2 linked regions of the Nothobranchius furzeri genome follow. Each later gene encodes a partner of the first gene's protein in a complex. Links are inferred from orthologs where the notes say so. Each region holds a gene or a part of one and is shown on either strand. Other genes may lie near its edges.

What was found.
Region 2: the proteins of zdhhc9 (region 1) and golga7 are in contact, whole or in part, in a cryo-EM structure (PDB 8HF3), measured with the Homo sapiens proteins. The link is inferred for Nothobranchius furzeri from reciprocal best matches to the Homo sapiens genes ZDHHC9 and GOLGA7. Residues at the interface, in NP_001008223.1 of Homo sapiens: Phe78, Ala81, Arg85, Ile94, Pro95, Leu98, Asp100, Glu101, Phe104, Ile105, Phe129, Gln130, Ile131, Asn132, Ile146, Pro149, Pro150, Arg182, Tyr183, Leu186, Tyr274, Lys281, Cys284, Glu285, Leu287, Cys288, Gly289, Pro290, Leu291, Pro292; in NP_001002296.1 of Homo sapiens: Lys11, Phe13, Gln15, Tyr18, Ser19, Ser20, Gly21, Thr22, Ala57, Glu58, Leu60, Ser64, Tyr65, Gly68, Cys72, Ala75, Tyr76, Thr77, Phe79, Leu80, Tyr86, Glu87, Leu90, Ile116, Arg118, Gly119, Arg121, Val122.

What each region holds. Positions count from the first base shown.
Region 1 is NC_091741.1:85,582,259-85,586,702, forward strand, and holds the start of zdhhc9 (palmitoyltransferase ZDHHC9), read right to left. Parts: upstream 2,928-4,444; 5' UTR 2,789-2,927; coding exon 2,625-2,788; intron 1-2,624. UniProt on the Homo sapiens protein: Palmitoyltransferase that catalyzes the addition of palmitate onto various protein substrates, such as ADRB2, GSDMD, HRAS, NRAS and CGAS. The ZDHHC9-GOLGA7 complex is a palmitoyltransferase specific for HRAS and NRAS.
Region 2 is NC_091743.1:54,616,944-54,621,094, forward strand, and holds golga7 (golgin subfamily A member 7), read right to left. Parts: upstream 2,582-4,151; 5' UTR 2,485-2,581; coding exon 2,476-2,484; intron 2,110-2,475; coding exon 1,987-2,109; intron 1,916-1,986; coding exon 1,763-1,915; intron 1,659-1,762; coding exon 1,557-1,658; intron 768-1,556; coding exon 720-767; 3' UTR 605-719; downstream 1-604. Other genes in the region: rplp0 (large ribosomal subunit protein uL10), read right to left, coding at 3,121-3,273, 3,455-3,595, 3,674-3,859, 3,988-4,134. UniProt on the Homo sapiens protein: May be involved in protein transport from Golgi to cell surface. The ZDHHC9-GOLGA7 complex is a palmitoyltransferase specific for HRAS and NRAS.

The DNA.
Region 1 (4,444 bases):
ATAAATCATGTTACTGCTCATTTACTCTCAGCTGAATGCTGCTTTATGACTGGCTAACAGGGAGACAGGGTGGGGTCGGATGGTGATAGGTCTGTAAAGATCTCTGACTGCAGCCACTCGCTCTGCAGGGGCTGCCCTGCACATGAATCGCTCACTTAAAACACGCACAATAAAATCTGAGTACATGGGACAAAACGCAGCCCCATTACCCAAACATATGCTCTCCCTTTGCAGCTTGGTTGTCCTGCAGTGGACAGATGACCAACTGTCCTTGTGTTCCGGTTTCTAGACTCTGTGGGAGGCCATCAACATTCACAAATACACACATGTACTGAACATATGCATTTCAGAAGAAATCCTATGAGTTTTTGACAGCAAGGAGGCCATTAAAGGTACCAGAGCCCTTTGTAGCTCAGACAGCATGTTTCACAGCATGAAAGACTCAGTTCAGCTGAAGGATAAAAGGATCAGTGCATCCCAGAATGCTGCAAAACCCACAGAGAGGCAGGGCACACCTCTTCAGACTAATCTGTTTACATCTTTCCAATGACTCCTTCCTTTTGTGTGTCAAATCAGCTATTTAGAATGATTTAAAGCACAGTGAATTCACCGTGCATGGGCTGCCGATGACTGGACATAAAAGGAAGACGTGTGCTGGGATGGTGTCGGACCAGAGCCAGCTGGTGGTAGGACACAGCATTCCCCATTTGCCCAGGGATGCGGCGGTGTAGCACACAGCTCGAGTCTATATGTGAGAAAAGTCATTTTATATCGAATGTGGATCAGAGTTTTAGATCAGGGCAACACAGTATGCTCTCATAAAACAACAGTTTTTACTCAATTTTAGCCCAGAATGTGTTTTGTTGGATTTTGGATTTGCTTCAACTTCATTTACAAACTTTTCTGTCACCATGGTCCAAGGCTTTTTTGGACTTATTTTTGGGCTTTATTAGAATCAGGAACTGATAATGTATTAAGTCCTTTATTTAGAAAAAGGATGTATTTTCACCTTCTTCAATAGCGAACTGCCTCGTTCAGCCACTCCTGTAGACAGTAATGAAGGCTGGGAGACTATTCAGATGTTAGATTAAGGTTTTAGATTAGGATGTTGAAAAGGCAAACGCACAGCAAGTAGATAGGTTTTGCTTTGGGTTCTACAAATGAACACTAGGGGGTGCTAAAAGCAAGCCCAAACTGGGCTGACCCAACCTTGTCTCCTTTAATGCAACATTTCAAGCAGCATGACTAAGAAAAAAACAAATTCAGTTAAACGTTCTATTGATACTCATATTTCAGCATTATATGAATACTTTTATCTAACATTTGCACTATGTTTTTTCTAAGATTAAAAGGAGCTTGAGTTGTGATTTAATGATGTTGAAACTCAGTCACACACTTTATATGTCTGACTCTTAGAAACAGAATAGGTAAACTGATTTTACAGGCTTTTCTGGTAATAAACTGAATATAAACGGGTTTACCGTGTTGTTCAGATAAAATAATCCCTTTTGAAACTCATCATAGACTTAGGACAGTTTTAATGCATTAACATGGATGTTCTTTGGTGGGAGGCACTGAAAATAAACCAGATAATGATTTAAGTTCTAGTCTAACCATCTACTTACATAATGGTGAGTTTGATTCATCCCCATGTTGTTTCAGTCTTATCTCCATTTCACCCCCACCCACCCACAGGAGGTAATTATGTTCCACTGTAATATGAACACGGCAGCCTATCGACCCCCGAGTCATTATCCCAGTGCCTCCTCAGAGCTCCTCTGCGAGCAGCATCAGCTCTTTCGTTCCCGTCCGGACTCGACCTCCTTCTATCCTGGCTCATAGAAAAGCAGGAGACCATTAACATATGGACCAAATAGATGAAAAGGGCCTGTGTGTGTGTGTGTGTGTGTGTGTGTGTAAGCGTGCGCGAGCATCTGGCAAACGGTTGTTTTCCGCTTGGTCCTAGAGCTCAACCAGTGTCAATTTAATAAAGCGTAATATTGTTTTTGGACGGTAAAAAGTGCAGGGGTCAACACTTTGGAAAATGTTCTGGTTAGGAATAATGCAACGCAGAGAAAATATTAGATATTTTCTGCTATATCAACAAAAGTATGTCACTGCAAATTTTCTTGAAATATCACAACATGGATTTGAGGCTGCATGGCCCATGAGTTTTCTAAGATGTTATGTAAAATACTAATTTTGTTGTTTTAGTCAGATTGAAACTCAGTTTATATAAGATTTGTGTTCTAAAAAAAATAATGAATTTAGTCTTGATAGTTTGGCCAAAGCTCCTTGCATCTGGTAACTTTATTTTCCAGATTTGGATTTGATCTTCAAAAGTCTCCTTTGTCATTGCTGAAAGTCAAGTGCCCAGAGTCTAAACGGCTGAAATAGTTAAGTGCATGTAAGTGATTTATTCTAGATGATGTTATTACTGGAAACAGGTTGAATTTCTGTGGATGATCGATCAGCAGCTACAGGGCAGAGATGGATCCTGTTACGCACGGAGCCACACGGATTGGAATTGTGAGAGGGTTCATCATCAGGTGACCTTTGAGCCATTCGGAGGCAGAAATGAACACGGTGATGATGACGATGATGATGAAGAGGCGTGTACTTACTCAAAGGCGAAGAAGAGCGAGCAGGTTCCTACGATGAGGAACATGGTCAGGTAGAAGACCCCCTTCTGCCGGGCCATCATCACCCGTCCATCGCAGCAGAAAGTGTTCTTCCCCGGGAGCTTCTCCCATTTTCGCACCTTCCTCGTTATCATCACCGCCGACATGCTGCCCTGGTTTCAGATCCTCGCTGCTTTGGGCTGATGCTTTCAAAACCACTATAAGAATCTGTCAAACTTCAGTCATGTTCCGTGGCTTCTCACAAAGAAGCAGCCGGGACGCATTTAAGTGTTTTTGGAAAATAAAAGCGTCGCAGTCGCATCGTTTTTCTTGTCTAATCCATTATTTGCCGTATTTACTGCAGCGCGCGAGCCTCCTCTTCCTCTCCTCAAACAGACAGTCTTTAATCTCTCTGGTCAGAGACGCAAACGATTAGAAGATCCACCCGAAACGATTGCGACAGATGTTTCCCCGCAGAAGCAGGAAAATCCACCCGTGGGTTGTTGCATAGACTCTCAGCAGCAGCTCGGACCTTGACCGCCTGACATACATATCATCTTGGATTAATCAGAAATAAATGAGCGAGCTGCTGCGCGCAGATTACACGCTAGTCAGACAGCTGGAAGCTGAAGAAATAAAAACATCTAAATAAAAGAGGAATATTGGCCCAGCTGTAGGACGGGAATGTGATCTCATGCGCGTTTTCTTCCGCAGGATCCCAGCTCTGGCTTTGAGTCAAATGGCAGCAGGAAACACGCCTAGATAGAGATGTCTAATCTTAAAGGCGCAGCACAGGTGGAACAGGAACAAAGGACGACTCAGCTCACATTAGGATTAAAAATCCTCCCTCCAAAGAAGAGCTAGGGAATAATAAAAAAAAAATAATAAGATAACCCCTAAATACGTTCAATAGACACTATTATTATTATTATTATTATTATTATTAGTATTATTATTATTATTATTATTATTATTGATATGAGGGTCGATTTAAGCTCCTCCTAACAATAAAAATGGGGTGAGGAGTTTGAAGTCATTTTCCCACCATATTTATCTAACGGTAACCCTAAGAAATGGTAATTCCATGCATGAATGTTACAAAAATAATAGCAAAGAATTAAATTAAAAATTATTTGGAATAAAATCTAAACATAAAGTTACACATAAATGAGTTTAAATTTAAGATAAGACAAGGGATCTCTTCACCTCAGTTTTATTTTGGTAGGCTACTTTATTATTCTATATTGTACAGCTGTTTGGGTTTGGCTTGTGGCTGTTGAGCTTCACTGAGTTTTTAATCTTTAGATTTGACTTTACACTCCTTTAAACAATACAAATATTTAGCTATAACATTTATTTGTGTAGCATGGTTAACTACATACAATTATTAACGCTGAATGCTATCAGCTTTGTTAGATTCTGAGAAAAGCTCAAACAAGTTAACAATGAAACTTCTATCATATATGAATATCTAAGATATTATATATTCAATAGCTCCCTTATCTGCTTCCCCAAGGCTCTCTGTCCTGTCTGCCTACAGAGCGCTTCTCTGCATTTCTCCTGAAATCACTACTCTTTTTTTTGGAAATATGGACTTAATTAACTGGTCATTCAACGCGATTGATAAGATTTTTTCTACGATGAGAATGGAGAAGGGGGCTCCCACCTGTCCCGAGGGGACATTCGCAGCGGGATATGCACTCGATTCTTGGGAGGTCTGGCGAATCGTGTGCCTCTCTCAGTTGTCCACCGAGGACGTGGAAGATTTGTGGATATTTGGCCTGATGATCACTGGATTTCTTCTGATTGGAGTGGGAGGATAT
Region 2 (4,151 bases), on another chromosome or scaffold:
AAGGACCAAGACTGGACACCACTGCTATAACCTGACCTACATGTTAACACAATATAGGACTATGCAATACAACGAATGCCATGTGCTGCCAATAATCACACCTAATCTGGATCAGTATAAAATATGGCATTTTTACATTTTGAAAACAGCACATACAACAAAACATTTGGAATTACAGTGATTTAAAAAGAGGCAACACAATGGCACGGTTGATTAAGACTGATTTGGATAAACTGGGGTCACAATACAGGCAACGGATGTGTAAAAAAAAAAAAAAAAGACAAGAAAACACAGAAACACAAACAAGCAGAGTCCTAATAAATAACAGGGAAAATGATGATTACATGAAAAATTTACAGAAAGTTCACGAGTGTGTCTGCTCATGAAAGTGAATCTGGTCAACCAACAGCCTAAACAGTAAGCCGAGGTAGAGAGAAGAATTATGCTGGAGGATATGAACTAAAGTGTTTGTGCTAACTGTTGTGGAGGTCTTAATCATTTTGAAAAATTCACATGACTTCTCTGAGATTACTCTCGCGGACAAAAAAACAACAAGCCTTCATAGTGGGCTTCTTGTTTCTTTCTTTGAAGGGAGCTGTTGGAATCCTGGAATTTTATTTTATTTTTTCTACAGAATCGCTGACGTGTTGTTTTTACAGCTCCAACAACATTTTTCCAAGTGAAGCTGACTCTTATTAGAAATGGATTTGGAAGTTTCTTTATCTTCCAGAGCCAATGCTTCTGTCTTCAAAGATGGTAACTTCGACCTGAAAATGGTAAGTTAAGGAAAAATCCACAATTCAAAATCAACATAAAAGAGCATTTTACCACTAAAAATAACTGCAACCATCATTTTAATAATACGACAATGTATCATTCAACAACAACGGCGTAATTCTCTGGCGGGAGTCGGGATTCAAACTTGCAGCTTTCCGATTACTGGACAACCCTCTCTACCTCCTGTGCTACTGCTGCCCCAAGATAATAATTTTAACAATGGCGTGACATATTGATCAAACATAATCCCGCTGAACTTCTGTTCACATCTGTACATCTCGATTATTCATTTAACAACTGATTCTTTTTGGGTCTTTAGTTTGAAGAAGGGTATTTTGAGGATTTTCTATATTATCCAGCAAATTAAGCAACCGGTTACTTGAAAGCAGCAAATTAAGGGTAAATTTCATAACTTAAAACCTTGATAAATTATGAAAATTTGAATTGATTATTTAACACTGGTTTACTTTGGCATTGGATGATTGTTTTCTGTGTAAAGCCCATTTTCTTAGTCGAAGAACAACACAAGCAGTGTTCCATGTCAAAGTGAAGCAGTGTGAAAATATTCTAGTTACGTTTATGAGGTTTAACATGAAAAAGTGAACCAATTCTTCCCTACTTTGAGTCAACAAACCTCTAGTTATTTCAGCCACAAAAAATGTGTTGGGAATCTTAAGTAAATGAGGGAGAACAATATACATGTACTCCTGATTATGTGATTTTAGCTACCCTAAATGGTCTTTTAAAAAAAATCATAAAATGAGCAAAGTTCAGGATACGACTCTAAGGCCTCTCTCAATGGGGTCTGTCAGCAACAAGCCCCTGGGAGCATAGATCTTCTCGTTCTGGTCCTTTATGTATCTGGCAATCTTCTTCAACACCTTTTCATGGACAGGAAACAGCACAGAACATAATAATGTCAGCCTCTACACAGAACACTGATATAAACAGTGCCACAGAGGTCATCCCACTGAGTCAGGTTTACCTTTTCATAGTGTGTCTCCATACAGAGGAAGATGGTGTAGGCCGTGACACAGGCCAGGCAGCCTTCGAGGTAGGACTTCCCCCCGAGTTTCTCTGCCTCCGCATACAGGTTGTTCAGAGTCTGGATGGTCTCATCAAACTGCTGCTTATCCAGCTGAAACCGAGCCAGCAGGTTAAACACAACCCTAACGTACTCGTGTCAACAAACAGGTAAATGCTACTTACCCTGGACTCAAGTTCGGAGGGGAACTTGGTCTGAAACTTGCATATGGTTCCGGAGCTGTAGTCCCTTTGAACATACACCTTAGAGGAGACAGCTGGCTGCTGGAGGTCCTGTAAGCTGTGGGTCTGAACAAAAACCAAACTAGCTAACACAAACTCTGACGTACGCCACCTTTTGGTTCCACACACTAGATCGATTAAAGCAGATAGGCAGTGTGTAAAATACCGTCTTACAGCAAACTGTTTAGTTAAGAACCACATAAGGTTACGCTAAAAGAGACATTGATTACAAAATTTAACAAGATACTGGGATTTGTTTGGGATATTGTTAGCCAAAAACACGTAGGCTTTCGTGACTGTTGGCAGCTCGATACTGGTAACAAAATAAGAGTTTGCACTCAAAATAATTCACAGATTAACCTTAAAACTATAAAAATAACCGCTTCTGCAGTAAACATTTATTTTTAAAAGGAATAAACCATGAAAACTAACCTCAGCCATAGCGAAGGATTCTCTTAAAGCTGCTGTTCATCTGTAACCACACCAGTTCCACTTCCGGTTCATGCTTTTCACAATAAAAGGTCAATGTTGGACACGCATGCTTTAAAATGGAATTATATTTTAAACATATTCTTATTCCTTTCACTTTGTCACGGAGTAGAATGCAATAGATATTTTTTCTCTTTAAACGTTTTGATCAACTGACATTTAACCTCATTGAGATTTCTTCTGGTAAAAAAATAAAATCAAGTTAACATTGTTTGGTCAGATGGAAAACTATATATAAAATAATATTTCTCATTACACAAGCCTCCCTTTAAATACTGTAGATCATTCAATTCCGAGATTTCGATTTCTACAGAACTTTTATCAAGTAATCAATTTATTTTGAAGGTTGACACACCCAAACCGGAAGTTTCAATGTTCTTGATGTTTAACGTCACTCTGATGCATCATCTGGTTTGTTACAGACCCATCCTCCTTTCCCAGCTAATCTGAGACCATTACATGGAAGCCATAGTATCTTGTTTCTTTTATAAATGTTTATCTCCTAAAATATTCAAAAACTTACACAAGGAATGTGTTTTATTAAAGTTTATTGAATCAAGATCTTTGACTCATTCACTGTTCACAGGTTTAGTCGAACAGACCAAAGCCCATGTCATCATCTGATTCCTCAGACTCCTCCTTCACCTCCTCCTTAGGAGCTGAAGCTGTAGAGACTGCTGCAGCTGCTACAGGTGCTGCGACAGCAGCAAAAGCAGATGGGTCAGCCAGGAAGGCTTTGACCTGCGGAGGACATATCAAAGTGTTAATTTCTAGTTATGCTATTAGTCAAAAATAAGCACTCCTAACAGACGTGAATTTAACATGCCTTTTGCATAAGGATCAGCCGTGCAGCACGATGCATGCTACACCAACAGGTTTACAAGTTAACCAAAAACAATTTAAAGCAGAATGAGTCAAACACCTTGTCCGCCAGGGGGAAGGAGTAATCCGTTTCCACAGCGACAGCCAGGACTCTCTTGTAGCCATTGATGACCGAGTGGGGGACAGAGGCCAAAGTGGGATAGCCAATCTCCAGACACACACTAGCAATGTTCCTCACACCCTGGACAAGTTAAGAAAAGTGCAATTTAGACATATAATGTCCCTGAACATTAAAATGTTAATAGACCTTGTGCCTCACCTCCAAGAACCTGGTGTGCAAAGAAGCCTCTGTGATGTCAAGCACCTCAGGGCTGTAAACACTGCCATTATCATACACTTGCTGAATGATGAGTCCAAAGGAGAAGGGTGAGATGTTCAACATGTTGAGCAGAGTTGCCTCGCTGGCACCAACTTTGTCACCGGTTTTGATCAAGCCGACATCACTCTAAAAAAACCAAAAGCAGCAGTTACTGGGTGCACTTTGCCACACTTTTGAAGATTTTTAAAAATGCATGGTATCGATTTCCAATTTTCCATCTAAAATTAAAAACTAGAACAGCTGTCTAAACTCACCAAAATTTCAATGGTTCCTCTTGAGATTTTGGTGGTGATACCAAGAGCCTGGAAGAACGAGGTCTTCTCAGGACCTAGGCCAGTATTCTGAGCTGGCACCGTCACATCACAAGGGGCGATGGCTCCAGCACGAGCAGCTGCAGGTACCTGAGGAATAATGTCAG